Stegostoma tigrinum: one gene and its partners. The protein of the gene in region 1 interacts with the protein of each later gene in a pairwise test. Links are inferred from orthologs where the notes say so. Each region holds a gene or a part of one and is shown in the gene's direction. Other genes may lie near its edges. The genes, in order: rassf5, mylipa and serine/threonine-protein kinase 3/4.

Region 1 (10,086 bases):
CTATTTAAATAGGCATTCAGAATACTCAAATATTATTAATAATTAATCATAAATCCTTCTGTGTGAAAACCTTATCGGTCTGTTTCACAGAGCAAAAGTAATTTTTGATGTTTCTTTTATCAGAACAATATCATGATGTCAAAATCAAACATTCTGAAGATCTTGGATGTCAGTACCAATGTGAGCTGTTGATTATTTCAACACTTGAAATTTGAGGATTTCAGTATTTTCATCGCAATCATAAATATACTTCAGCTACCCCATCCCCAACATCATTAAATCCTGCAAAACCAGTTTTCTCTATGTGGATAGTTCAAAGCTTGCACAACACCTCGATAAAACTACATCTGAGGAAGTGAGGCAAAAATGACCAAATCATTTTTTCTTACTTCATGTGGAAAATGTTTAATTTCTATGTTGCATCTTTTCTTGGGAGCCCTTCTTCACATAATGCGCCAGTGGCCTACTCACAATGGAAATTTTACCTGCTATACATACGTCAACTTAATACATATATATAGTGCTACAAATACACTTCAATATTAATATGTCATAGAGAAACTCGTTTTAATTTTTTTTGAAAACTATTTGGAGTGGTTTCTTTAAAATAGCTCATCAACAGTCAATGTGGACATGGGAGATTAAGGTACTTTCCTAATCAATTTGTTCAGAGATATTATTACCCACCTCTGGAACAAGTAAGACTTTAACCTGGGCCTTATGGTCCAGAGGTAGGGACAACACCACTGTACCACAAGAGATTTTATTAACAAGGCTTTCTACAAATTGCATGACTGGTGATAACTGCTTGATATTTCTGTACACCATTGTTGGGATTGTTTTGAATAGAATATGGCTTGGAGAGTTTTTGGTTTTTATCTGGTCTTCAGTTAGGGAGATAAGAAGTCTGCATGGAAGGGCTGGCAAGCTGATCGCTCCCATTTCAGGGAAGAAAACTCTCTTGTCAAATTCGGGGTAAAATCTAAGTGTTCTTCTGGAAGAGTGATTGGAGAAATGTCTCAATATCGTTCTTCCTGAGTCAGCTGTGCCTGTAAGACATCTGAGATAACTATACGACTAGTAATTTGACCACACATGACAGAACATCAGAAAAACATACTTTGGAATATTCTGGTGAAAAAGGCAGAAGATATCAGCAGTCATAAGTCCCACTCCCAAACCTTGCATCCATTTGCAGGGATGGGATTGAGGGCTATTTGTAGTTTGCACGTGCATGTTTTATGGAGGTACCTGTGCATTTACATAATCAACTGCCTCCGCGGATCATTATGTGTGGAGAAGATAGTGTATAAAAGACGCAAAAAACCCTTTACAATTGTCAAGACCTGTCAAAAAGTATCAGCCTGGCAAGTTCTGTCAAGAAGGTTGGTATGTCAGGATTGTCAAGAAATGTTGAGAAATGTGAACAACTATCCAACTGGCATACGGGAAGAAGTGTTCACCTGTCATGAGCTGGCGAGACCTGTCAAAATGCATTTTTATGAGTTAAAGTGCTTTTTTAAATAAAGTATAATTATCAAACGAAACTTCAAGTAGTGGAATTTTCTCTTCTCCTGTGTGCATTAGTTATTATGGATACTAGCTCTGTTGATATGGAGGGTAAAGGTGGAAAGGATGATGGTTGGAAGTAGATATTAAATTGCTTAAGGTTTTTTGAGAGTCCATTGGGGATGGATAGAAGGGTATAGCATAGCAACAGGGTATTAGGAACCATGGTGAATGGGTGGAGGAGTATACCATGGCAAAGAAGGTACAAGGAACCATAGTAGGTGGGTAGGGGGAATTAGGTGAGAATCGTCAAGTACAGGAGTATGCGGGTGAAGTGGAGTGAGGGAAGTGGAAGGGGTGAAGGATAGAACAATGTTTTATATTTTATTATTTTACTTAATTTCTGACAACCACTGAAAACACAGGGCAGGCTTTCTACCTGGCCCACTTTGGGAACTAGCAGCCTTCACAGCTCTTCCAGAGTTGCTGGCTCAACTCTCAATCTAGCCCACAACCTATATCTACCCCAGTCTGAAAATAGGAAACGTGGCTCACTATTTTGAAAGATCAGGTTCACAGAGGTGGGATTTCTCCCAGCTCTGTGCATATGATGTGGGGGCAAAATTAGGACCTATGCTTCTATTTATAAAGCAGAGATCCCTTATGCCTAAATAGTTGCTTTGTTCATCTGCACTGCCACCTGTAATGAATTGTGCTTGAGCACGCCCAGAACTCTTCCTCTACTCCCTCATATTTTATCATTTAACATGAAATATATTTCTAATTTTTCTTACCCAAATGCACTATATCTCATTTGTATTGAGTTTTATTTGCCTTGTAAAAACCGAAAACTGCGGATGCTGTAAATTAGGAACAACAACAAAGTTGCTGGAAAAGCCCAGCAGGTCTGGCAGCATCTGTGAAGGAAAAATCAGAATTAATGTTTCGTGTCCAGTGACCCTTCCTCAGAACTTTGTTTTAGTTCATTTGCCTTGTGATTAAACATTCCACCAGTCTATCAAAGACTGCTTAAGCCTATTACTATCTTCTATACTGCAAGTTCCATGTCATCTGTGAATATCAAATCAGTGCCCTGAATTCCCACAAATTAATATAGATCAAAAAGAGAAGTGGTTCTAGTACTTAGCCTTGGGAATTTCACTATGTATCTTCATCAGTCAGAAAAACTTGCCATTCATGCTGCTACTGACCACGATATCCCATAAACCTCAATTTTGCAAAGAAGCTTTTTATGTACTACATTTTCAACAACGTTTGAAAGTTCATATACACAAAAACAATTCCACAGTCTTCATTCAGCCGTTCCGTGCTCTCATCAAAAAATACAAGCTTGATCATTGAACATATTTTGCCATCAATAATCCTGCCAGTTCTCTGTTATTCATCGATGTTTTTCCAGTGTGGCATGGTGGCTCAGTGGTTAGCACTGCAGCCTCACAACACCAGGGACCTGGGTTCAATTCCAACCTCAGGCGACTGTCTGTGTGGAGCTTGCACATTCTCCCTGTGTCTGCGTGGGTTTCCTTCCTTAGCCAGTCCAAAGATGTGCAGGCTAGGTGGATTGGCCATGCTAAGTTGCCCATAGTGTTCAGGGGTGTGTGGGTTATAGGGGGATGAGTCTGGGTGGGTTGCTGCAAGGGGCTGTGTGGACTTGTTGGGCCAAAGGGGCCTGTTTCCACACTGTAGAAAATCTAATCTAAAAAGTAGCTGTCAATTTTCTCTTGGATTATAGATTCTGAAAGCTTCCCTACTATTGACTTTAAAATATCTGGTCTGTGATTGCCTATATGATTTATCCTTCTCCCCTTTTTTGAAGCAGGGTGTTATCATTTGTAACCCACAATTCTTCACTCAGCAAAACAATCAAGGACAATTGGAGCAATTCCCAAATATAACTGAATTAAAATGAACTATTCTTCTGCAATTTGATTTTCATTTCAATTTTGCTAAATCTACTCCTTTTCACTCCTTTTATTCTTCTTTCTATATCTCTACATTTTGTTTGACTATCAATTCAGCCAATTTTCTTCTCACCTTCTCAATGAGTATTCCTCCATTATAAAGTGATAAAGTCAAACAGATATACAGCACAGACGCAGACCCTTCAGTCTAGTCCATCCACGCTGACCAGATATCCTATATAAATCTAATCCCATTTCCCAACATTTGGCCCATATCCCTTGAAACCCTTCCTATTCATATACCCATCCAGATGCCTTTTTAAATGTTTAATTGTACCAGCCTCCACCACTTCCTCTGGCAGCTCATTCCAACCTCTGCATGAAAACGTTGCCCCTTATGTCCCTTTCATATCTTTCCCCCAGCACTAGGCATGTGACCTCTAGTTTTAGACTTACCCACCCAAGGGAAAATACCTTGCTTATTTACCCTATCCATGCCCCTTATCATTTTATTAACCTCTACAAGGTCATCCCTCAGCCTCCAAAGCATTGGGGAAAATGGCCCCAGTCTATTCAGCCCCTCCCTATAGCTCAAACTGTCCAGCCCTGGCAACACCGCTGTATATCTTTTCTGAACCTTTTCTAGTTTCACAACATCCTTCCTACAGACTGGAGACCAGAATGGCATGAAATACTCCAAATTCTCTTTCATTAAGGAGATGATGTTTACAAATGATATTGACATATGGCGTCCTCATCAAATCAATGTTCTTGAAATGCGAGATACACAATATTGAAATAATAATCGTGAGGGTGGAATTCCACTTAATAATGTTCCATGCTGTGAAACTCACCATTGCAGCGTTTTCTGATGTAAAATGTGTGTAATTGCACACATAGCTATGTCTCGCTATTCTGAGGCAACACAGTGAATTAGGCTGTTAATGGCAGAAAGAAAAAAATGAGCAGAAAAGAAATTTTAAAACAGTAAACTAAAGTTAAAAAGTGAGGACATTTTAAAATGAATAATACCAAATAGCTTCTCATGTCGACAAATAATCCCCACTCAGATGTTCATTAAGTTTTAAAGTAGGTAACTAGAGAGAAGTGAAACACCACACCAGATAGAAAGTAATGACGTTCTAATAGACAGTGTTTTTCATGATCACCAGCCATATATCTTAAAGCACAAGTAATGATGTCCTTTTGAAGCATTCTTATTGTAAAATTACAGGAAAAATTGCAGCAATTTTTGCATTGAGAATTCCTATCAACAACATTGTGATAGCAACTAAATAATCTCTATGGCATAGAGTGATAAATATTAGCCAGGTAATTGGGGATAACTGCGCTGTTCTTCAAAACAGCATCATGGGATCTTTGATGTCCATCTATGAGGCCATGTGGGTCCTAATATTACATCCAAATGACAATGCAGCATTCCTTAGAATCGCATTGGACTGCCATGTTTAGATTTCTGTGCTCAAGTCCTTCAGTGGGAGTTAACCTCCTGAAACCAAGGTGCTGTCCAATTGAAGGAGATAATGGGAACTGCAGATGCTGGAGATTCCAAGATAACAAGGCGTGGAGCTGGATGAATACAGCAGGCCAAGCAGCATCTTAGGAGCCCCTAAGATGCTGCTTAGCCTGCTGTGTTCATCCAGCTCCACACTTTGTTATCCGCTGTCCAATTGAATCTCACTTTAAGAATTGTGTTGTTTTGAATGTTTGGAGTGGTTATGAGCAGTGTTAAAAGAAAAGGGGCAGCGGTAAGGTGTAGAATGGGGCTCAGTCCTGATGCTCATTTGACCAACAGTTCTGGGTGAGCCTGTATTCACTGGAGAAAAGAAGAATGAAATGCTATCTTACTGAAACATGTAAAATCATTAGCAGACTTGGCAAATGCAGAGACGTTGTTTCCCCTTCTTGGAGAGTCTAGGACCAGAGGCATAATCTCAGAATCTGGCTCATTTAAGACAGAGGGAGAATTTTTATTTTAGAAGGCTGTTGAGGCTGTGTCATTAAGTAAATTGAAGGCTCAGAATATCAGACTTTAAATATCAGACTTTAAATCAGTAGGTGAATAAGGGTTTATGGGGAAAAGGCAGTAAAGTGGAATTTAGGATCATCAATGGTCTCATGGACTGGCAAAGCAGGTGGGTGGGCTGAATGGCCTTCTCCTGCTTCTAAGTGTAATGGCTTTCCGGTCGATGACCCGAATAGCCTCCACCCGCATCGTTAGAGTTGTGCGATTCTGAGTCAAGGTTGACAGGCAGATTTCCCTGAAATCTGGGGTTAAGTACAAGAAAACAAAGAGAGAAAAAAAACCCGACCTTTCGGTGGGGGGGGGCGAGGAGTGGTGTGGGGGAGGAATTTCAAACACAAACCCCGAGTGACGACGTGCTTTACCCGAACGGAGCTAACTTCCCCCGTGACTGTGGCCTCGCGGCTTGTCCACTGCGGAGTGGCGAGGAGGCAGGGCGCGGGGGAGGGACGTAGGGAAAGCACGCGCCGCTCTTTAAAAGGTAGCAGTGCGCGTTCAACGCCTCCAACTGTCAGCTGCAGGAGCTCTGCGCGAGAGCGTTTGGTTGCGCCGATTCATTATCATCATGCCCATAGCGTCAGCCTCGCAGTCGGCGGCAGCACCGCCGTTGGGAAGGGCATACTTCGCCGCGTATCCCTTCGCCCAGCTGCTAGAGGATTTCACCCCCGGCCACCAAAGGCCGGGGCTACCGAGACGTCTCTCCGGTGACATGCGGTCCGGGGAGCTCATCCTGCGCTGCGTTCTGCTCGGGGGCAACTGCGGCGAGATGCCGGCACACTCGACCAGTCCCGGTCTGGTCAAGATGGCCAAAGCAGGTGGAGGAGCTGGCGGTGGTGCAGGAGCCGGAGGAGGAGGGATGGCGCAGGGACGACGAGTCAGGGTGAAGCAGGCTGCGCATCGACCCCGAGATGTCCGGACCATCTTCCTCCAAGCGGAGGATCCCAGAGTCCCGGAGGAGAAGGGAGAGGGACATTGCTTCGGTCGATGTTCCGTGTACACTTGGTGCGACTATTGTGGCAAGGAGATCCCCCTGTGCAATGAAGCTGTCAGGTGTAAAAGTGAGTTCCTTGCAATTGTAATTCCATGGCTAATATACTGATTGGACTAAAATCGACAATCGTATTTGAAGTTTGTATTTTTGCTAAACATTGACTTTACTAACTATCTGACACGTGACATCTTCAAATTTGTTATTATGCATCTATGCAATCTAACCGTAAACATGCATGTATTGATACTGACACTGTTCCCACGCCTCTGCTTGTGTGGTTGTGAAGCAGTTTGTTGATTTCAGTCATGTGCGATCAGAGTTACCTCGATTTTCCGATTTTGACTTCATTTTCTTCAGCACAAGTCATCCATACAGAAACAGCTTCGCCTCACCCTGTCAGGTAGAAATCTGGAGTAGGAGGGAACTGTGTTTTAGTGAAATATGCGCGTGGTAACAATACATTCGTGATCTCTTTGTTCAGCTGACAGAACCCATCTGGTTTTGAAAAGGTAAATCAAACTGTGGAAACCCAATCCATCAAAAGCATAATAGTGTGATTTTTTTTTTCCAGTGGACTTTGAATTCCAAACCAGTTATGGTCAGCTTCTTCCCATGGAGACCCCACCAGTGCAGTTTGGATGTGGGAAGACCAACGACAGCAGGGGGTGAAAGGCAGGAAACCTGCAGAAGTGAGAGGGTAGAGGAGATGAGCAGCCTTTGAGCGTGCCATCCCATTTGGGATCCCAGCCTCCACATTAAAAACTTTGGAGTATTCCAATTCCTGTCCAGAAATATCACTATTGTCACAATTTTTGGTTGTGCATTTCTGTTGACATTTACTGTTGCAATTGTTATGTAAACATCATTTGCTCTTGCATTGCTAAGGGGGTTGTCACAGATCTTGACAACTAGCTTGCTGTGTAGAGCAAGTTTCTGAAACCTCCTGGCCATGTAAAATCCTGTGAGCGTTTGTCTGTCTCTTCTATTGACCCTAGGAAATGCAGAGGGTGTTGGAAACTTAAGAAACGGTAGTTTAATCAAAAGAATTTAGTGTGGCAAAATACTACTGGATTTTGTGCTAAAGGACAAATAAGTACGTAAGGAATAAAATTATAGTTTCACTCCAAGAACTTCAGAAACTTTCTCTTGTTTAAGGTTTTAGCAAAGAGTTGTAGTTCGGGTTGTGGGTGAGATTGTTGACTTGCTTGCCGAGCTGGCTTATTTTCGTTCATTTTGCCACCAAGCCAGGTAACATCATCAGTTAGGCCTCCGATGAAGCAATGTTGTTTCTACTCTGCTTGGAATTTATCCTGTTGGGCCCATTGTGGCGAGTAGTCATTTCCGGTGTTGTTTTGTATGGGTTTGTATGTGGAGTCCAATTCTATAACATACATGAATATCAGCAAGCAGCAAAACAACATGACAAACTTCCCTTAATATCATTACACTCTGACAACAAAGATCATCAGTTCAACTGGGACAACATAACCATAGTAGTTCAAACCAAACAGGCATACATAGGAATTCCTAGAGGCATGATTCTCAAATGTGTAATGTAATCAGCAAACCTATAGAATTGGACCCCACATACAAACCCATACAGAACAAAACCCAAAATGACATTATTCACCATAATCGACCAGACAGCATAAATTCCAAGTGGAGTAGAACAACATTGCTTCATCAGAGACTTGACTGATGATGTTACCTAGCATGGTGATAAATCATCTGAATGAAGACAAGCCAGCTCAGTGAGCAAGTTAACAATCTCACCTTTCTCTTGCTGATTATACAAGTCAGGGAAATATACTTTTTGGTCTATAGATTGGGTTGTGTAGCTAGACAATTTTACATTATATCCAAAACAGTAAGCATTTCTGTTTTTAGAAGTTTTATTTTTTGTTGTGTATGGCTAATATATTAAATTTTTCTGAATGATGCAGTACATGCAATGGTGTGGCCCATTTCACAACAAGATCTGTTCCATTTGAACTTGATTGATTTCAGGTCATTTTAATACCATTTAATTACTGTCCAGTTTAATCCTGAGAAGCAGGGTAACTATTAAGAAGGTAATTTCAAATTAAAGCACATGCCTCCTGAGAATATCAATCTCTTAAAAAATAATTAATGATATGTGGTAATAAATGATGATAGTTGAGAATGCTGACCAATTTCAGATTAATTTTGGGACCCTGATAGTTTTAGTATGTATCTAACAGTCTAAGTGGCTTACCTGGTTACTCACAACTGGGGAGGAAAGTAAACTCCTATCTCTCTCTCTAATTAAAAGATGTAAAACCAGACACTGGGAGAAATTATAAAACAAGTCTTTGTTTTTTTAAAAAAATCTAAATTGATTTTCAGATTTAATCATTTATTTTGAAAATTCCAGAGAATGTGGAATAGAAACTTCACACAGGTCACCAATGATTTCCTGGAACTAGTCTGTCAAGATTTAGCACAGCTGCCACCTTGATGTCTGCTGGAATCTGATGGCTACCTGTCTCTTCGGTTGGAAAGTCCTGCTCCAATAGAGAGCACAGTTGTGTGATGGGGCATCTTGGTCTTTGGCATCAATGCACCTCACTTATCAGGAGGAAACAGCATTGAGAATGATAGACTTTGCATCTCTGATAACTTCTCTGCATCCTGATGGACTTACTGCTGCAACACCTTTTTTGTGTGGAGACTGTTTGACATCCTCCAAAGGTTGCTGCTAGTTGTGGGCTTGCTATTATATTTATTTCTTCTCATTTCTCTGCATCATCAGTGTACAACTGCCACTGTGAGGATGACACCTGCTGTCATTGGACTGTGTTTTTCTGGGGAATTTTAGATACAGAACTGGTCCTTTGTAGTTTGAACAGTCAGCATTTGCATCTCTCAATGCAGTGGACTTTGTAGGACTCTGATAGTGAGGCTTGTGGAATTACTCAGTACGTGGAACTTTTGACAAAGTTGGCCTTTACTCTGATGAATGCAGCACAGGTAATGCTGCACTAATACAGTAACAGATTACGTGCAGCTAGATTACAGGCCACCACCACTATCAGCACTTATCACCAAAAGTGAAGGCTGCAGTGCCTATTCAAATGTTGGTGAATACTTGCAGCTCAAGGCAAGAGGAATCAGCTTTGCAGCATAGTTTGATCTGTGAGGCCTTAGATTATCTTAATGTCCATTGTGGCCCACATGTGACTCTAAGATCGCCTTTGATACTACTGCTTTACAGAGGTGATTATGTTCAATTTATATTGAGCAGAGTCATTGTCAAGATTTCTTAATGAGTGAGTGTTTGATTAATCCAGTTGCCCCTGGAAGGGCCCCACATCACTCAAAAGTAAAGCCCGAAAAAGTTGTCTAGGATTTCAGTCATTTTTCGTTCCCATTGTGCATGGCAAATTTGGATGCAAGTGGAAAGCAACATAGGGTGCACTTCACAGTGAGTTAAAGGCTCAACCTAGTAATCTAAATGACCACTGTACCGTCCCCAAAAGTTTTGGTGGTCTTTTCTTTCTTGCACCTCCTGTCCACATAGTCTGGGCTTCCCTTTGTTTGCACCCAACTCTCTTTATTAGGTTTCCATCTCCTTGTATTTCCCCTGAGCCCTGGGCTTG
Region 2 (10,933 bases), on another chromosome or scaffold:
CCATTAGCTCCTCTGGCAGCTTGTTCCATGCACGCACTACCCTCTGTGTAAAAAGAGGTGCTGCTCAGGTCCCTTTTAAATCGTTCCCCTCTCACCTTAAACCTGTGCCCTCCAGTTTTGGATACCCCTACCCTGAGAATCTCAGCTTCCCTATTGTGGGTTATGTTAAAGGAATTTTCAGCAACAATACTGGGCACTCGTGGCAGCTAGTGGTAGGAACGTCTTTTCCCATACATTTGTCATAAATAATAATTGCAATCATTAAATCACAACACTTCCAAATCAAAACAGAACGTCAAGATTAATCAGCAATGTACAGGAAATTTGGGCCACCTGATTGTCAACCAGGGGAATCAGTATGTTAGTACCGGAGAATCTCAGATTGGAAGAACAAGTGTGTGGAAACTATTTGGGGCAGAGCAAGGGAAAAAGAGAGAGCAGCAGATCTTGATGGGAATTATTTATAGGCCACCAAACCACAATGATTAGATGGGGGCATCGTATTAACCGAGGAATTAGTGGTGTAGCAATTACAATGTTTAAAAAGGATCTGGATGAGTATGTAAATAAGAAGGATTTAGAGGGATATTGGTGAAATGCTGGCAAATGGGATAAGATCAGTTTAGGATATCTGATCAGTGTGGATGAGTTGTAACAAAGAGTCTGTTTCTGTGCTGTATGACTTTCCTAAACATCAAACATCCCACTTTCCTGATGAGCTTGTTTAAACTCAGTCAACAGCAGAGAAGCGGGTAGCATAGGCAACACAGTTATCATTGGTAACTTCAATCTGTATGCAGCTTGGTAAACCAGCTGAATACTAAAGCTGTGGAGGACAAATTTCAGGAGTGTGTTAGAGATGGTTTTATACAGAAGTATGTTGAATATCCAACAAGAGGACATGCTAATAAAAGTAAAATACTGCAGATACTGGAAATCTGAAAGAAACACAGAATGCTAAAGAAATTCTTGCAGAAGGTGTGGAGACAGTTAATGTTTCAAGTATTAACATGGATACAAAGTTGGCTGAGTTATAAGAAATGGAGAATAATAGTGAATCATTTGGATTGAGGAAGGTTGTCATGGGATTCTTCAGGGGTTATTGTCAGGATTGGTGCTTCTCATTTCTCGTAATGATCTAGACTTGGATGTGCCACTGAGCATTAAAGGTGTGGGGTGGATGTTGAATCTGCTAAATAGAGTGCCAATAAAGCAAGCTGTTTTGGCCTGGATGGGTTTGAGTTTCTTTAGTGTTATTGGAACTGCCATGACCTGGGCAATTGAAGAGCAGTGCATCACAAGCCTGATTTGTGCTTTGGAGATGATGAACAGGCTTCAAGCAGTCAAGAGATGACACACTTACCATAGATTTCCTAGCTTCTGACTTGCTCGTGTAGCTACAGTACTTATTATAGCTGTTCCAGTTCAGTTTCTGGTCAACAGAACTCCTTTGGATGTTGATAGTGGGGGAATTCAGTGATGGTAATGGAATTGAACATAAAGGGAAAATGTCCAGAATCTCTCATTGAAGAATATCATCAACTGGTAAATGTTACATGCTACTTTTTAGCCCAACCCTGGAATGAAATACAGGTATTTCTGTGTTTCATTAACGCAAATTGGGTGTAGTGCAATTGATGAATACTGGACGCTGTTTAGATAATGTGAACTTTCTTCTGTACAGTATAGCAATTTCCAAATAACTATTTTCTACGGCGATTTTCTATAGCACAAAGTTGCACAAGAACGTAACTATTGTGTTATAGGAGAAATATCTATAACTCCATAAAGGCCAGTATCCTGCCACCAAATCACCCTTTAGTTGCACGTGGAGAATCCTTAACACTGATTCAACTCTCAGAGCGTACATGATGTCTGACACTCCTGTTCTTACCTATCAGCCAAGGTTCCCTGATTGGGGCTGATAATGTGGTCCAAACAAAGATTCTATGAAATTCAACTGGCTGACCTCATTACAATCAATATGTGGATGTTGTTCAGATGTTGTTGTAAATGTGCACCTTTATTTAACACTTTAACAACTCCTTAACTATCTGAGAAGATGTAAATGGTGCTGAGTATTGTGTAATCATCAGCGAACATCCACAGTTCTGACTTTGAGTAAAGATAAGTCATTACTGTAACAAAAGAGCAAAAGGTTATTGGGAGGTAGGTGGGAATGTAAAGTAATCAGATCAGCCATAATCTTACTGAGTGGCAGAACAGATTGAGAGAAAAGGTACAACACAGTGTGGAGCTAGAGGAACACAGCAGGCCAGGCAGCATCAGAGGAGCAGAAAAGCTGACGTTTCAGGTTGGGACCCCAAAACGTCAGCTTTCCTGCTCCTCTGATACTGCCTGGCCTGCTGTGTTCCTCCAGCTCCACGCTGTGTTATATCTGACTCTAGCATCGGCAATTCTTACTATCTCTGAGGGAAAAGATAGCCTATTTCTGCTCCTATTTTGTATAACCACAGCCATCTTCCCTTATGTTGCTCTTAGAGACAGGCAACATGGTCCAAATAGAGCAAAGGCTGTTTTTTGTGTTTTACTCAGAGAGGCAGAGGGAACCAGGTGTAAATGTGCATAAATCAGAGAAGGTAGCGGAGCAAGTTGAGGACATTGTTATTGAGGCTTATGGCATTACAAATTTTGTCAATAGGGCCATAGAATGTAAAACAAGTTAATTATGTTGAAACTGTATAAAACATTATTTTAGTTTCAACTGGAGTGTTGGGTCCGGTTCTGGGTAGCACATTTTAGGAAGGCTGAGAAGGCATTATGAATGGAACAGAAAAGATTCACAAGAATGGTTCCAGGAAGGGGAACACTAACTACATTAACTGGAGAAAGAGGGGATACTTGTTCATGTTTGGATAATGTTATGCACCATTCATGACTCCTTAGATACTGAAGCAGTCCGTGCCTGAATGCAGTAAGACGTGGACAATATGCAGGCTTGGGTGACAAGTGACAAGTAACATTTGTGCCATACAAATGATCAGGCACTGATCGACTCCAACTAGAGAAAATCTAACTGTCATCCCTTGACATTAAATGACGTTATTATCACTGAATCCCCCACTACCAACAATCTGGGCGTTACCATTGATCAGAAACTGAACTGGACCAGCCACATAAATATTGTGGCTACAAGAACAGGTTGGAAGATATGCAGGTTAGGTGGACTGGCCATGCTAAATTGGCCTATAGTGTCCAGGGAGGTATAGGCTAGGTCGATAAGGCATGTTAAATGCAGGGTTACAGGGATAAGGCCAGGGGTTAAGGCTAGGTGAGATGCTCTTTGGAGGGCAGTGTAAACTCAATGGGCCAAATGGCCTCTTTCTGCACTGTTGAGAGTCTCTTATGCTATGAGAAGCAGTGAGTAACTTACCACTGACTCCCTGAAACCTGTCCACCACCTACAAGGCACAAGTCAAGCATATGATGGAATACTCTCACCTACCTGGATGACTGCAGCTCCAACAAAGCTTGAGAATCTTGACACCGTCCAAACTGAGGTTTTTGAGGAAGTAGTCAAAGAGATTGATGAGGGCAGAGTAGCAGACATTGTTTATATTTCAGATATTGGATTTAAGTAAAACCTTTGACAAGATCCTGCATGGTAGAGTATTTAGTAAACTTACATCATATGGGATTCAGGGTGAACTTACTGAATGGCCGAACAAAATTGGGTCAAGCTGCTTGGCCTGCTGTGTTCATCCAGCTTCACACTTTATTATCTTATGATGGTGGAGGGTTGTTTTTTGGACTGTAGTCCTGTGACCAGTGGTGCTCTACCGGGATCGGTCTGGATCCCCTTCTGTTTGTCATTTATATAAGTGATTTAAGTGAAAATTTGAAGGCAAGGTTAGTCATTTTGCGAATGATACCAGAATTGGTGGTATAACAGACTGTGAAGAAGGTTATCTAAGATTACAAAGAGACCTTGATCAATTGGGTCAATGGGCTGATGAGTGACAGATGGAGTTTAATTTGGATAAATGTGAGGTATTACAATTTGGTAAAACAAACAAGGGCAGGACGTGTACAATAAAAAGTAGGTCCTTTAGTAGTGTTGTAGAACAGAGAGACCTCGACGTTCAGGTTGTTTGAAGTTTGCATTACATCTAGTCAGGGTGATTAAGAAAGTGTTTAGCATGCTTGTCTTCATTGCTCAGATCATTGAGTATATGAGTTGTGCTACGTTGGTGAAGCCTCTTCTTGGAATACAATGTCTAGTTCTGGTTGTCCTATTATAGGAAGGATATTATTAAACTGGACAGGATTCAGAAAGATTTATAAGTATGTTGCTGGGAATGGAGTGTTTGAGTTATATTGGAGAGGCTGGACAGCCTGGGACACAGTGGAGTGTATGAGGTTGAGGAGTGACCTTATGGAGATTTATAAAATCATGAGATGTTTAGGTAGGGTGAATGACGAGTGTCTTTTCCATGGGGTGAAGGATTTCAAGTAGAGTGGGCATATTTTTGAGGTGACAGGAGAAAGATTTGAAAGAGATATAAGGGTCTTTTTTTTGGAATAAATTTCCAGAGGAAATGGTGGATGCAAGTATAGCTGCAATGTTTTAAAGACCTTTTGAGAAGTACACAAATAAGAAATGTTGAAAGGGTTATGTGCCAAGCGCAGGCATGTGGGAGTGGTTTAGTTTGGGATAATAAAGTGTGGAGCTGGATGAACACAGCAGGCCAGGCAAGCAGCATCTTAGGAGCACAAAAGCTGATGTTTCGGGCCTAGTCCCTTCATCAGAAAAGGGGGATGGGGAGAGGATTCTTAAATAAATAGGGAGGGGGGGGGAGGCGGACCGAGGATGGATAGAGGAGAAGATCGGTGGAGAGGAGAGTATAGGTGGGGAAGTAGGGAGGGGATAGGTCAGTCCTGGGAGGATGGACAGGTCAAGGGGGCGGGATGAGGTTAGTAGGTAGGAGATGGAGGTGTGGCTTGAAGTTGGAGGAGGGGATAGGTGAGAAGAAGAACAGGTTAGAGAGGCGGGGACGAGTTGGGCTGGTTTTGGTATGCAGTGGGGGGAGGGGAGATTTTGAAGCTTGTGAAATCCACATTGCTACCATTGGGCTACAGGGTTCCCAAGCGGAATATGAGTTGCTGTTACTGCAACCTTCGGGTGGCATCATTATGGCACTGCAGGAGGCCCCGGATGGACATGTCATCTAAGGAATGGGAGAGTTAAAATGGTTCGCCATTGGGAGGTGCAGTTGTTTATTGCGAACCAAGCGTAGATGTTCTGCAAAGCGGTCCCCAAGCCTCCACTTGGTTTCCCCAATATAGAGGTAGCCACAACGAGTACAGCGGATGCAGTGTACCACATTGGCGGATGTGCAGGTGAACATCTGCTTGATGTGGAAAGTCATCTTGGTGCCTGGGATAGGGCTGAGTGAGGAGGTGTGGGGGCAAGTGTAACACTTCTTGCGGTTGCAGGGGAAAGTGCCAGGTGTGGTGGGGTTGGAGAGGAGTGTGGAGTGGACAAGGGAGTCGCGGAGAGAGTGGTCTCTCTAGAAGGCAGGCAAGGGTGGGGATAGGAAAATGTCTTTAGTGGTGGGGTTGCATTGTACATGGCAGAAGTGTTGGAGGATGATGCGTTGTATGCGGAGGTTGGTGGGGTGGTTTGGGATAATGTTTAGTTTGGACTGAAGGGTCTCCTTCCATGCTGTATGACTATGATGTATTCTCCGTCCACTACTGATGCTCAGTGGCAGCATTGTGTAACACCAGTTTCCTTCCAAGCCACTCGCTATCCTGACTTTTCTGATGAAGGGTCTAGGCCCGAAACGTCAGATTTTGTGTTCCTAAGACGCTGCTTGGCCTGCTGTGTTCATCCAGCTCCACACTTTATTGTCTCTCACCATCCTGACTGATTTATTTGATTAGAGATTCCACGGAAAGAGCCTGTAATCCCACCGTGGCAGATCTCACTGAGAACACTGATGATCTCAGCGATAAAATTCTCACTGAGAGCCGGTGATCTCATTTGAAGAGACTCGATCCAGCTTTTTTCGGTTTTTCCCTTCAATCTACGTGTTTTCCTATTGGTCAGAGAGCAGTAATGCTTTTCTCCAATTGGTTTTCTGCTGTCTAGCTGACGTCAAGCCGGGTATTTGTGGGAAGAAACTAGAACCGAGCGTCTAGAACCTGGACGGCGGGCTGTATATGAGGGTACTATCTGCTCCTAGGTCCCGGAATCGAAAGCCGGGGGTTTCCACCGGGTCAAGGCCTGGAGCTGGACAGCTGTATGTGAAGGGGGCACAGTGCTTGGTACCGGCGGCCCAGGCTGGTCAAGCCCGTCTGAGTCTCGATGCCAGTTTGAGGGGAGGGAGTGGGGGTGCTATCCGCAGTATCGAAAAGGACAGTGATCCGGATCCCTGGGAGTCCTGCTATCGCCATGCTGTGCTATGTGACCAGGCCCGACTCGGTGGTGATGGAAGTGGAGGTGGATCCGAAGGCGAACGGCGAGGACTGTCTGAACCAGGTAAGGCCCGGATCGCTTCCCCGGATTTACTCTGTGCCACACGATCATCAGGAGCAGGAGTAGACCATTCGGTTTCCATCTCCGCCATTCGGGAAGGTTTCGTTTTTGGCCTTGACTCCACATTCCTGTCCGTCCTCTCCCGCGAATACCCCACAATTTATCGCTGATCAAAAGACCCACGTTGATTATTAGAGCTTGGTCCCGATGTAACGTCCTTTGGATTTTTTCTCAAAGTCGAACTGCCCATTTGAATTGTTACGTTCTTTTCTAAAGTAGATATTGTTTTTAAATCTGCCCTTCCTCCCCATGTTTACAACCAGTTAACTTTCTTAAGAGCAGATTGTAGTACCCTCTGCTTTGTTTTGCCTCGGGTTCCCACTCACTCGTTGCGGCGGAGGGAATTTATCGTTCTGATTTGGGAGTTTACATTTTTCTTTTTAATTTTAGAGGTAGGGAGGATTAGTCTGTGTATTTTGGAAGATGGGACGGTAATTCAATCATCCCTTTTTTTTTCAAATAGTGTAAGGGGGTCTCTCCTTTCTCTTGCCCAGGTCTGCCACAGGCTCGGCATTATAGAGGATGACTATTTGGGTCTGCAGTACTCTGCGAACAAGGGGGAGACACTGTGGTTGAACCTGAGGAACAGAATCTCTCAACAGATCGAAGGGATGCCTCCTTATAGATTCAAACTCCGAGTTAAATTTTTTGTGGAACCTCATCTCTTACTTCAGGAGCAAACTAGGTGTGTTTCTTAATAAATTGGAGCTTTTTGTTGGCTTAAATGAAATATTGATACTTAATCTTCTTACTTTGCGTTTCGCATGTGTTTTTTTTAAAATCTCGTTGTATCGACTTGAACAAACTTAATGATTCCTTGCTAGCCTGTTCTTGTACTTTCAGATGACCGATAGTAACCTCGCCATTGCAGTGTTATTATGGGTCATAGTTGCAGAAACTAGCGTTCTAACTGTAATCAGGCACTACTGGGTCCTAGCGCTCCGAGCTCATTACGTTGAATTTATTCTAAATCTCGGGTTTAGCTGAACTGATATGCGTGTCGGTGTGGTATCGGCAATTTTGATTCTGTTTTAACTAATTTGAGGTAAATGTCAGATTCGGACATCCACCTTAGTTCACGAAAAATTCTTTGAAAGAGATTCTTGGGGAATGGAGTTTTTTTTAGTTGAAGAATAGTGGTAAACGAGTGAAAGCTTGAAATAATTTTCCAAAAGTGGTGTTGTGTAGTGTTTAGTGCAAGAATTGAAACCAGACAGAATGGTTTATTTCTTAAAGCTTGTATGAATTACCATTGATCTACAAAGGCTTTGGTTTGACTGAATTGACAGGGCATTGTTTTTAACCTAATGCAGAAAAGTGTACTTTTTTTTTCTTGTTTAGCTTTGGGCATGTGGGAGGACAATTCTGTCATTGCTGGTTTTGGTACGACTGTGGTCCAGCTCTGCCCCACTATTCCCCAGTGCAAGCTCTATTAAATGCTGTCTCTTGTAATAAGTTCTCAATTGAGTATTGAGAGAAGCAAAACCGCCACCAGCTTTGCATAAACTTCGGGTGTTATGTCCATGGTTTTATTGCTTGGCTGTGTTTTTAATGTCTTGTGGTGATTTTATTTGATCCCAACCCGAATAGTTTAAATGTCAGATCTTGGCTCTTCCACCAATGAATTTGAATATATTCAGAAACTTTAAGTCTAACTAACAAAATGTGAAACAAAAAAATTACTTTTGTTTCATTTTGAGTGAGTTGACTGTTTGTTACCTTTGCTGACTGTTTACTCCCTGGTGTAAAGCCACCCATGGTGTTGCCACTGGGCCATAGTACAGCAAGAAAATAAGTAGGTTTTGATGTCAAGATTGGTAGCTTCTGCTTCAAGATATTTGTTCTTTTTTCTGCTGGTTTCAGAACTAAAATTGCAGGATGATTGAATATAGCCTGCAGGCAATTTTCTTTTTGTCCCCGGCCAAACCAAAACAGTTTCTCCCTGAAATCAACAAACAGCAAGTATGTTATCTAGTCTGTAACTTTTTTGCTGTTGAATTAGCTAGTTGTCAGCAAAATTACTAGATATGGTGGGAGTAGCTCACCTCACTTGTACTGTGTCCAAATCAAGCAGAGATCAAAACTTTTTTTCAACGAATCATATCTTGCATTCAGTTCTTGATGGCAGTTCAGTTTAACATACTGTCTCATCGCCACACTGACTATTTTCTTCAGCTCCCAACACAACAAAGAGGCTTGCATTTATGTCATGTCTTTCAGGACTTTTTTTAGTCATCCTACAAACAGTTGTATGGCGGATCTGTGTTTGCTGTGAGCTAAATATTAGCCAGGGCATTAAAGAGATTTGTAATAATGGTGGAAGTTTTTAACATCCACATACTTGACTATTTTGAGTCCAGCCTGTTCTGAGTCTAAGACAAGAGTCCTATCCATTGAGTCTTGGCTGCCAGCTAAGGTGTCCGACTGATAGTATATTTTACAGCTGTTCCATTGTTCTTGTCTTGACTGTATTTTAAGTGAAAACTTTGTACTGATTAATTTTGTCCTTTTTTTTAAAAATTTTTTTTGGATGTTTGAGCACCACTTGGTCTATGTGCTCCCTTGATCAGTAACTATTCATAATGTGCTAATGTTGAAGTAGGGATCATGCAACTGGACCATCTAGATTTTGTCACCTTCCGATAAGAACTTGAAATTGATCAGGTGCCTGACTTATTCTAGAATTTCATCAGATAAATGAAGAAACATTGGACAGAGGTGTGAGTGCAAATGCGTTCCTGAAATCGACTGGTTTTTGATGTCAAGTTTAAATTAGTCTGCCAAAAAAAACCCCTGACCCATGGGGTGTATCCAATCCAGTGAAAAGAAAAAAAAAACTTACAAATCAGTTGCTGAAAAGGAAACACAGTTTCGATATCACAAAAACCATAACAGTCAACAGTACAATTCAATATCAAACATTAAGTTACATGACTAACAAGAAAATACAAAAATTCCAGAATACAGTGAATAACCCAGAGTCCAGCAGGCTAATAATTTCTATATTGAATAAAAAAATTAATTCTTAGTAATGCCCTGCTTTCTCAAATGTCACTTCAATATCAGTACCTCAAACAAAATTCTAAATCAGACCACCTGCTACAAAAGCCATGTAAAAGGTTTTTGCTGAAAGCAAACTGAATTCACTGCCCTGAATGTTTTGAAACTTGGTTTTAATTCTGACCCTGAAGGAATCCTGGAACTTTATCTTTTATCTGTATGTAAACTGTCATCTTGCACAAAATGTGAGTGAGCAATTTGTAGATAAAGTTTTTCTGGCATAGCACTCTCGGGGTTCACTGTGCATTTGCTCTGGCTTCCAATTGTGTGGCAGCTGTTGAAGAATTGACAATAACTGTGGTCCTGTTTCAGAATCCATGCTGGGGGGAAAAAAAAGTGCAATTTTGCTTTGAAGATGAGGTATCATTCTTTACTACTGGCCTTTTTACATGGCTTTTGTAGCAGGTGGTTTGATTTTAGAATTTTGTTTGAGGTACTGATGTTGAAATGACATTTGAGAAGGCAGGGCATTGCTAAGAATTAATTTTTTGGGTTATTCACTGGATTCTGGAATTTTTTTGTATTTTCTGTTGGTCGTGTAACTTAATGTTTTGGATATTGAATTGTACTGTTGACTGTCATGGTTTTTGTGATATCGAAACTGTTTCCTTTTCTGTTGCCAGTTGATGCATGCTTGTCCTTTAGTAACCTTTTGTTTACATTGTCAACATTTGACCGAGAGTAACCTCTTGCAAATATGGTGTTCTGGAATTATTAATGTCTTTTAGCTAAATGAGATAATAACCAACTTTCAACATGTACTGTTGATCTTCCAATTTTTAAAATTTGTTACTTTTGGATTCTTGTGGCATTTGTGATAATTACTTTGGGCACCAAGTTTTAATGCTATTGTCATACTTATTCCGGGGGCTAGCCTAAATGATTTGTCTGCTCTTGCATTTGCCTTTTGTTTTCTTTAGACTGTCTGGACAATTGTTTCCCTTTGTTACCTTGTCCCCAAGTTCACATGGACTCATGTCTCTGGTAATTTTGCTTTTATATCTTGCCCTTCCCACACTGCCTTCCGTGGCAGTGTTTTGCCCTCTAGAATTTGACAGTGTACCATTTATTTTGCATTCCTCTGGTTCTTTTAATTGTGCTTCAAAGCATTGCGTGCAGATTGCCCTCTGCTGTTATTGAAATTGGAATGATGTTCCACTTTGAATTCAAAGTTGTGTGTAATGGAGCTAGTTATCTTCTGTTTCTTGCTTAGCAAGGTAAATTCCCAATTTTCATTTCTCAAACAGTTTGACTGTGTGCCAAATACCATCTACCACCACTAAGTATATCATAGTTGACTGAAGTTTCACT
Region 3 (9,993 bases), on another chromosome or scaffold:
CATCTAGTGGTAGAAGTGTGTATCTTCAGCTAGTTTTAACAATGGGAAGATCTTGTGGTAACTTAATGAAGTAACTTAAGTTAGCAAATGAAATTCAAGACATGAAAAGTGCAGAACTGTGTTCCTATCAAATTATCCCAGTAATCACATGCAAAGCTTTATCTGCACAAAGTTTTATTTTAAAACTGTTCAGTAATGAGACTGTTCAGGTTCTTTGTCCGCATGAGGGTCTGTGAGATTATCCTGCAGAAATTCACTCTCTAAAGGAAGTGAAGGAAACTTACAGGAACTAGTCAAAAGTCTTCACCCTGCTAACCACTGCAGTGGGAACTTCTCGTTTCAGGAGGGAGCTGTGTGACTAGTGAATAGTGGAATTGACTTCTTGTAAAACAAAAACTCGATTTTTAGGAACGGGCTTCCAGATGAAGGTTAGCATATGTCTTGCTTTCTTCAGGTAGAGTGACCATCTGTTTACTGAGAAGCCTGCAGGTATGACTCTGCTATCTTCAAAAGGTGATGCTCAAAGAATATGTATACAATGTTGCATATTTAAAAAGATGAAAGATATCTCAGGTCTGTGCCCTTACAATCAGCAAAAACAGGACATTGCCAAGCCTTTTGAAAATGTATTGAGGTATCAGTTTTGTATTCTTTGTTTCACCAACATATTACATTTTAGATTTCCTTTTTACCTCTCTTAAAAATGCCGCCATTTGAAGTTCCTGCTAGAATGCATTTCCACCAGGTTTGTGACAGTCCTTGTGTTAACTAGCCTCCTTTTCCTTGTCCAGTGCTCACAACCTTAGGCTCCTATCCATTGGCGAGGAATGGAAATTTGAGTGGGCTCAGACTCTCGCCCAGCTGTGCCACACTGTGTTTTCTTCCTTGTCCCAATTGTTTTGCAACTCAAACACAAATGCGTAAAGAAGTCGGGAGTGAAAAAAACTTTGTTGTGCCTAATGATTATGAGCTATCGCCCATAAGTGTCCTGTAGATTAATGTGATTCCTGGAGACTACAGGATAATCCCAGCGGATTTGCAACTTTAGATGTACCATCCGACCCAACTGTGTTTGTAGTCTTCAGTTGAATTTTCTGACACCAAAGTCTACAACCCATTCAATGAGCCCTTGACTTTAAATTTTAAAAAACTCTGAAAGGAAGTGTTTTTATCTAGTCTTGATGATCATCTTTTTCCTCAGTCTGCACGATTCTATTAATTTGCTGCTGAAGGCATGGGCAAATTTGAAAATATGTGGGTGTGTTCATATTCCTCTTTTTTTAAAACATGACTCCTTAAAAATTTTACTGCTTAAATCCTCTCAGTCATCGCAGGCCTATAGAAAATGGCCAGTTTGGTTCTCTGTATTGCAAAAAAGCGGCAAAAACTCTATCTCATGATAGGGTAAGTAGGTGAGAATGGGAGAGCAGTTATTTCTTGAGATTGATCTGGGAGGCTGGAACAAAAATGCCCTAAAGAGGAATACTATGTACCCACTCAATATCTCCCTGAGGCTAGTCTGCACTTAGTGACAATCTCTATATCACCTTTGCGTGGAAACCACTGGTATGGCCTTCTGAATTAGAGGAACAAGTACACACAAATCTGATAATTTTTTAAAGTTTGAAAATGGAGCAGTGACTCATTTGATGAGCTGGATGTGAAAATACACTACAGCTGTAGGTTTTGGCAAACATTGTGTTCTCCCAGTTGCATTAGGAGTTGTAAGTTGACAGGGCAAAGTGAGACCATATTTAATTTACCTGTCTGTTAATGTCCTTAAACAGGAGCTATATGAACATTACAATGTAATAACCTGCTACTTGATAAACATTTTAAAATGAATCCAGGAAATTTAAACAAAAGAAAAATCACCTGGACTCAAAACAGCTTTTGTTTGCGATTCGTTGGAGCCTAACCAGTCTGGTTGGAACTGGGTCATGCCCTGGGAATAGAATTAGTAAATCAGGCAAGAATCTCTGCATCTCTAGTTTTTACCTTTAGAATTTTTACTTTTTGTGTGCCACGTCTGTGGGACTCAACAATACGCACAATTCAAACTTATGTCATGTATTTCTTTAAAACTATTTAGGTGGTGTATGACATGCTGCTTTTATGAAATATCTGAACTTTATTTCCCAATTTCACTGTTTTCTGTGTGAGATTTGTCATTAAAGTCTTGTCTTTCAAATGGATCCCTCAAAACAAAGTTAAATTCAATGTGGAGAGCAACTGATGCCATTTAGTAAATTTGATGTATATTTCCTTCTATGCAAGTGATTCTTATACTGCTTAGAATAAAACACTTTTGTCATGACCAACTAGGCATTCATTGTTTGTTTTTTTTATTTTGTGATGTTCAAGTCCCTTGCTTTCATGTGTGATTACATTTCTAGGCTGTAGTGGTGATGGAATTGGGAATGCGGAGTGCGCAAATCCCACAGTGGCAAATTAGAATTGAAACTTGTTAGTGTGCTTGAATCCTGGACGCCTAGCACTCAAACTGGAATTCCGTTAACAAACATTTAGAGCTGGACCCTCAAATACCAATCTCTACAAAGCAAATCCAGAAGTGATGCCATCCACTCCAGCAAACTGAGATACAGAAACATTAAGTGGGATAGAAAAAACTTACCAGCTCAGTGAGCAGGAATACCTCTCTCTCTTCCCCCTCTCTTTCTGTGTCTGGCTGACAGCCTATGCAATGTGAATGTGGCATTTTAAAAACTCCTACTTTAGAAATTAAACCAGTTTGACTCCAAACTAAAACACTGATTCTAATCAAGGTTTCACACCTGACACGCTTTAAAATGTCACTGCCTCTTTACGCTGATAAAACCTTTGGTCCTTTCAGCATAATCCAATTATCACCTTTCAAGTCATTATCTTGTTCCTTTTTTTGAAGTCTCTCCTCTGACGCTTCATTGGAGGTGCTCACAGAGGACATTTTTTGTTTCCCAGTGAATTTCATTCTTAAATGTTACATTTGTAAGTTAAGACTGGCTGTAGTTTTTGCCTGAAAAAACGACTTGTCTAAAAGTTCAATATATCCATAAGTAATTCAGCTTTCTGATCCATTGTCATGAAACCACACATACACCTACTTGTCAATGTCCTATTTAAATCTTAAACTGACCCCTTGACAGATCTAAGTTTTATACCATTTGCAAATTTTGAAATTGTGCCTGTACATCAAATTCTGGGTGATTAATATATATCAGGAAGAGACAAACTATTTCTTCTGATGAGTTGGAGCCTAGAATAAGAGAAGATGATTTGGTTCAAAATGTCATTGTCCATTGTGAATATAAGCTTTTCCCTGCTTTAGCTCATTTCTCTGGAATTGAGTAGATTAATATTTTCTATATGTATGTGTGATGCATCATCTACCTTAAGTTCATGAATGGCCAAAAATATTCTCTCTGACCTATTCACACAAGTCAATTTATGATTGCATAATGCTTTGTAAATTATTTTATACTTTTCTGGAAGATAAATCATTATATTACATAGTCTTTTAAGCACCTTAGCATTATCCAATCAGACTGATAAGATAGCAAATTCCTAATCTTTTGGATTATAACTGCATTGATGGATATTATACTTTTGGTAACAGGACGAGGGGGATCTAGACATATACCAAAGGCCAATGTACCACAAAGCAATGCAACTGAGGTCTCCCTATCCGAAAGCTTGAATGAAACAAATTCAGTGGTTGCTTTTGGAAAATAATTGGATAAAAAGTTGAGAGAGGGAGTAACTAGGACAATGAGGGCGAGAGCAGGAAGTGATGCAATTCAAAAATACAGTATAAATAAGATGATCTGAGTGGCTACTTTCTGAGACTTTTTTCTGACTTTTGCAAAGTGAGAATCGACTAAAATTCCAGATTTTGGACAGGTCAGAACAGTTCTCCACTTAGAGAAGAATTTGATAAAGATGTTCAGTCATGAGGGTTTGGAGTAGACAGGGATAAATTGTTGACGCTTGCATAGATAATTGACCAAAGAAGTAGTAGTGACAAGAAGAAAAAAATTCCACACTGTGGATGGAATGCGCTGTTTCACATTTTTTGGTGACAGGTGTCAGTTCAGTGGAAACACTTAGGAGGGATCATTGACTGAAAAGGAAAAATGTACAGGGCTGCAGGAATTTGTAAAGAGATGGTACTCTTTGGGGAATTGATCCTTAATGGGGAAGACTATATGAGTCAAATGAACGTAAAATACTGCAGATGCTGGAACTCTGAAATAAAAACAAAGTGATGGAGAAACTCAGCAGCATCTGTGGAGTAAGAAATAGAATTAACGTTCTGAGTGCAGTAATGGCCAAATGCTGTTGGTCCCATTCTATTGATAACAAGGTGTGGAGCCGGATGAACACAGCAGGCCAAGCAGCATCTCAGGAGCAGGAAAGCTTTCCTGCTCTTGAGATGCTGCTTGGCCTGTTGTGTTCATCTGGCTCCACACCTTGTTATCTCGGATTCTCCAGCATCTGCAGTTCGTATCATCTCCAGTCCATTCTATAATTCGTTGTTGAGGTGCAGTGCTGGAAGAGGGATGTGGTCAATGCACCGACACGGACTGAGGCCAGAGCAATGCACGATGGTAGACAAATAGAGGAAAAGGCCATTCGGTCCAACCACTTGATGCTGGTGTATCTGCTGCATCCGTATGGGAATGAAAACAATGGAGGAGAACTGAAACAAAGAAACCTACAGCACAGGAACAGGCCCTTTGGCCCTCCAAGCCTGTGCCGATCAAGATCCTCTGTCTAGCCTGTCATCTATTTTCTAACGGTCTGTGTCCATTTGCTCCCTGCCCATCCATGTACCTGTCCAAATATATCTTAAAAGACGCTAACGTGTCTGCGACTACCACCTCCGCTGGCAAAGTGTTCCAGGCGCCCATCACCCTCTGTGTAAAGAACTTTCCACGCATATCTCCCCGAAACTTTCCTCCCCTCAATTTGAACTCATGACCCCTAGTAATGCAGTCCCCCACTCTGGGAAAAAGCTTCTTGCTATCCACCCTGTCCATACTCCTCATGATTTTGTAGACCTCAATCAGGTCCCCCTCAATCTCCGTCCTTCTAATGAAAATAATCCTAATCTATTCAACCTCTCTTCATAGCTAGCACCCTCCATACCAGGCAACATCCTGGTGCACCTCCTCTGCACCCTCTCCAAAGCATCCACATCCTTTTGGTAATGTGGCGACCAGAACTGTACACAGTATTCCAAATGTGGTCGAACCAAAGTCCTATACAACTGCAACGTGACCTGCCAACTGTTGTACTTAATACCCCGTCCAATGAAGGAAAGCATGCCATATGCCTTCTTGACCACCCTGTTGACCTGCGTTGTCACCTTCAGGAAACAATGGACCTGAACACCCAGATCTCTCTGTTCATCAATTATCCCCAGGACTTTTCCATTTACTGTATAGTTCGCCCTTGAATTTGATCTTCCAAAATGCATCACCTCGCATTTGCCCGGATTGAACTCCCATCTGCCATTTATCTGCCCAACTCTCCAGTCTATCTATATTCTGCTGTAATCTCTGACAGTCCCCTTCACGATCTGCTACTCCACCAATCTTAGTGTCATCAGCAAACCTGCTGATCAGACCACCTACACCTTCCTCCAAATCATTTACATATATCACAAACAACAGTGGTGCCAGCACAGATCCCTGTGGAACACCACTGGTCACAGGCCTCCAATTTGAGAAACTCCCTTCTACTACTACCCTCTGTCTCCTGTTGCCCAGCCAGTTTTTTATCCATCTAACTAGCACACCCTGGACCCCATGTGACTTCACTTTCTCCATCAGCCTGCCATGAAGCTGAAAGGGTGGGTGCAATCAATAGAAAGAGAAAGTTAAGGGAAAGAAAAGAACAAAATCTGGTTGCGAACTTTACTGCCATGCACTTCCATCCCGTTGCAATTGCAGAGCCAACTATATTTCCGCCCCACACGATGGAAGGAACCACTTCCGCCCCGCTAGTGGCGTCTGTCGCAACGTCCGCCCCCACTGGACGTGGATCGACGTAGCTTCCGCCCCGCAAATGCGTCACTTGGAGAGTTTCCGGGAAGGGGATTTCCGGCTCGAGGCGGAAGTGAACAGTATAGGAGCGGTGAGACATGGAGGAGGTCCAGCGGAGGCATCCGCGGCGGTAAGAACCCAAAGAGGGAGAGCGGGAGGAGGATGTTCGGGATGCTGGGGAATGGGTACGGGAAAAATGGCGAGAGGAGCGAGGGCTGTGGTTGTCAGGGCAGAAATAACCCCCTTGAGGGCCGTCAATTTCGTTCCCCCGACTTAAGGACAACTACCCTGCTCCCCTCCGACTTCTTTCCCCACCCCCCCATTCCCCCCCCTTCTTTTCCTCCCCCTCCTCTTCCCCCCCCATCTCTTCTCCCCCCCCCACCCCCACTCCCCCCCCCACCCCCACTCCCCCCCCCCCACCCCCACTCCCCTCCCCCACCCCCACTCCCCCCCCCCACCCCCACTCCCCCCCCCACCCCCACCCCCACTCCCCCCCCCCACCCCCACCCCCACTCCCCCCCCCACCCCCACTCCCCCCCCCACTCCCCCCCCCACCCCCACTTCCCCCCCACTCCCCCCCCCACCCCCACTTCCCCCCCCACCCCCACTTCCCCCCCCACCCCCACTTCCCCCCCCACCCCCACTTCCCCCCCCACCCCCACTTCCCCCCCCCCACCCCACCCCCACTTCCCCCCCCCCCACCCCACCCCCACTTCCCACCCCCACTTCCCACCCCCACTTCCCACCCCCACTTCCCCCCCCCACCCCCCCACCCCACCCCCACTTCCCCCCCACTTCCCCCCCCACCCCACCCCCACTTCCCCCCCCACCCCACCCCCACTTCCCCCCCCACCCCACCCCCACTTCCCCCTCTTCCCCCCCACCCCCTCTTCCCCCCCCACCCCCTCTTCCCCCCCACCCCCTCTTCCCCCCCCACCCCCTCTTCCCCCCCCAACCCCCTCTTCCCCCACCCCCTCTTCCCCCCCCACCCCCTCTCTCCCCCCCACCCCCTCTTCCCCCCCCCACCCCCCCACTCCCCCCCACCCCCCCACTCCCCCACTCCCCCCCCCACCCCCCCCACTCCCACCCCCACCCCCCCACTCCCACCCCCACCCCCCCACTCCCACCCCCACCCCCCCACTCCCACCCCCACTCCCCCCACTCCCACCCCCACTCCCCCCCACTCCCACCCCCACTCCCCCCACTCCCCCCCCCACTCCCCCCCTCCCCCCCCACCCCCACTCCCCCCCCCACTCCCCCCCCCACTCCCCCCCCCACTCCCCCCCCCACTCCCCCCCCCCCCCACTCCCCCCCCCACTCCCCCCCCCACTCCCCCCCCCCCCACTCTCCCCCCCCACTCCTCCCCCCCCACTCTCCCCCCCCACTCTCCCCCCCCCCACTCCCCCCCCCCCCACTCCCCCCCCCACTCTCCCCCCCCACTCCCCCCCCACCCCCACTCTCCCCCCCCCACTCCCCCCCCCACTCCCCCCCCCCACTCCCCCCCCCACTCCCCCCCCCACCCCCACTCCCCACTCCCCCCCCCCACTTCCCCCCCCACCCCCACTCCCCCCCCCACCCCCACTTCCCCCCCCCCACCCCCCACTCCCCCCCCCACCCCCACTCCCCCCCCCCACCCCCACTTCCCCCCCCACTTCCCCCCCCACTTCCCCCCCCCACTTCCCCCCCCACCCCCACCCCCCACTTCCCCCCCCACCCCCACCCCCACTACCCCCCAACTCCCACCCCACCCCCCCCACTTCCCCCCCCCACCCCCCACCACTTCCCCCCCACCCCCACTTCCCCCCCACCCCCACTCCCCCCCCCACCCCCACTCCACCCCCACTCCCCCCCCCACCCCCACTCCACCCCACTCCCCCCCCCACCCCCACTCCCCCCCCCACCCCCACCCCCACCCCCCACCCCCCACTCCCCCCCCCCACCCCCACTTCCCCCCCCACTTCCCCCCCCACTTCCCCCCCCACCACTTCCCCCCCACTTCCCCCCCCCACTTCCCCCCCACTTCCCCCCCACTTCCCCCCCCACTTCCCCCCCCCCACTTCCCCCCCCCACTTCCCCCCCACTTCCCCCCCCCACTTCCCCCCCCCACTTCCCCCCCCCACTTCCCCCCCCCACTTCCCCCCCCACTTCCCCCCCCACTTCCCCCCCCCCACTTCCCCCCCCACTTCCCCCCCCACTTCTCCCCCCACCCCCACTCCCCCCCCACCCCCACTCCCCCCCCACCCCCACTCCCCCCCCACCCCCACTTCCCCCCTCACTCCCACTTCCCCCCCCACTTCCCCCCCCACCCCCCACCCCCCCAACCCCCACTTCCCCCCCAACCCCCACTTCCCCCCCAACCCCCACTTCCCCCCCCACCCCCACTTCCCCCCCACTTCCCCCCCCCACCCCCACTCCCCCCCCACTCCCCCCCCCACTTCCCCCCCCCACTTCCCCCCCCACTTCCCCCCCCACTTCCCCCCCCACTTCCCCCCCCCACTTCCCCCCCCACTTCCCCCCCCACTTCTCCCCCCCACTTCTCCCCCCCACTTCTCCCCCCCACTTTCCCCCCCCCACCCCCACTTCCCCCCCCCCCCACTTTTCCCCCCCCCACCCCCACTTCCCCCCCCCACCCCCACTTCCCCCCCCACCCCCACTTCCCCCCCCACCCCCACTTCCCCCCCCACCCCCACCTCCCCCCCCACCCCCACTTCCCCCCCCCCACCCCCACTTCCCCCCCCCACCCCTACTCCCCCCCCACCCCTACTCCCCCCCCCCCACCCCCACTTCCCCCCCCACCCCCACTTCCCCCCCCACCCCCACTCCCCCCCCACTCCCCCCCCCCACTCCCCCCCCCACTCCCCCCCCCCACTTCCCCCCCCACTCCCCCCCCCCACTCCCCCCCCCCCACTCCCCCCCCCACTTCCCCCCCCCACTTCCCCCCCCCCACTCCCCCCCCACTCCCCCCCCCACTCCCCCCCCCACTCCCCCCCCCACTCCCCCCCCACTCCCCCCCCCCACTCCCCCCCCACTCCCCCCCCCCACTTCCCCCCCCACTTCCCCCCCCACTTCCCCCCCCCACTTCCCCCCCCCACTTCCCCCCCCCACTCCCCCCCCACTTCCCCCCCCACTCCCCCCCACTCCCCTCCCCCCCCACTTCCCCCCCCACTTCCCCCCCCACTTCCCCCCCCACTTCCCCCCCCACTTCCCCCCCCACTTCCCCCCCCACTTCCCCCCCCACTTCCCCCACTCCCCCCCCCACTTCCCCCCACTCCCCCCCCCACTTCCCCCCACTCCCCCCCCCACTTCCCCCCACTTCCCCCCCCCACTTCCACCCACTCCCCCCCCCACTTCCACCCACTCCCCCCCCACTTCCACCCACTCCCCCCCCCACTTCCACCCACTCCCCCCCCCACTTCCACCCACTCCCCCCCCCACTTCCCCCCACTTCCCCCCACTTCCCCCCACTCCCCCCCCACTTCCCCCCACTCCCCCCCCCACTTTCCCCCACTCCCCCCCCCCACTTTCCCCCACTCCCCCCCACTTCCCCCCCCTCCCCCACCCACTTCCCCCCCCTCCCCCCCCCTTTCCCCCCCCCTTCCCCCCCCCTTTCCCCCCCCCTTTCCCCCCCCCTTCCCCCCCCTTTCCCCCCCTTCCCCCCCCCTTTCCTCCCCTTTCCTCCCCTTTCCCCCCCCTTTCCCCCCCCTTTCCCCCCCTTTCCTCCCCTTCCCCCCCCTCCATTCTCCCCCTCCCATTCTCCCCCTCCCATTCTCCCCCTCCCATTCTCCCCCTCCCATTCTCCCCCTCCCATTCTCCCCCCCCCATTCTCCCCCCTTCCCCCCCCTCCCCTTCCCCCCCTCCCCTTCCCCCCCCTCCCCTTCCCCCCCTCCCCTTCCCCCCCTCCCCTTCCCCCCCCCTCCATTCTCCCCCCCCATTCTCCCCTCCCCCC

What was found.
Region 2: the proteins of rassf5 (region 1) and mylipa interact in binary tests that used the Homo sapiens proteins (3 or more experiments, as listed by UniProt). The two-hybrid records come from large-scale screens. The link is inferred for Stegostoma tigrinum from reciprocal best matches to the Homo sapiens genes RASSF5 and MYLIP.
Region 3: the proteins of rassf5 (region 1) and serine/threonine-protein kinase 3/4 interact in binary tests that used the Homo sapiens proteins (3 or more experiments, as listed by UniProt). The link is inferred for Stegostoma tigrinum from reciprocal best matches to the Homo sapiens genes RASSF5 and STK4.

What each region holds. Positions count from the first base shown.
Region 1 is NC_081374.1:17,293,590-17,303,675, forward strand, and holds the start of rassf5 (ras association domain-containing protein 5), read left to right. Parts: upstream 1-6,001; 5' UTR 6,002-6,040; coding exon 6,041-6,533; intron 6,534-10,086. UniProt on the Homo sapiens protein: Potential tumor suppressor. Seems to be involved in lymphocyte adhesion by linking RAP1A activation upon T-cell receptor or chemokine stimulation to integrin activation.
Region 2 is NC_081355.1:37,864,813-37,875,745, forward strand, and holds the start of mylipa (E3 ubiquitin-protein ligase MYLIP-A), read left to right. Parts: upstream 1-5,978; 5' UTR 5,979-6,418; coding exon 6,419-6,505; intron 6,506-7,056; coding exon 7,057-7,247; intron 7,248-10,933. UniProt on the Homo sapiens protein: E3 ubiquitin-protein ligase that mediates ubiquitination and subsequent proteasomal degradation of myosin regulatory light chain (MRLC), LDLR, VLDLR and LRP8. Activity depends on E2 enzymes of the UBE2D family.
Region 3 is NC_081372.1:9,269,870-9,279,862, reverse strand, and holds the start of serine/threonine-protein kinase 3/4, read left to right. Parts: upstream 1-6,097; 5' UTR 6,098-6,145; coding exon 6,146-6,177; intron 6,178-9,993. UniProt on the Homo sapiens protein: Stress-activated, pro-apoptotic kinase which, following caspase-cleavage, enters the nucleus and induces chromatin condensation followed by internucleosomal DNA fragmentation.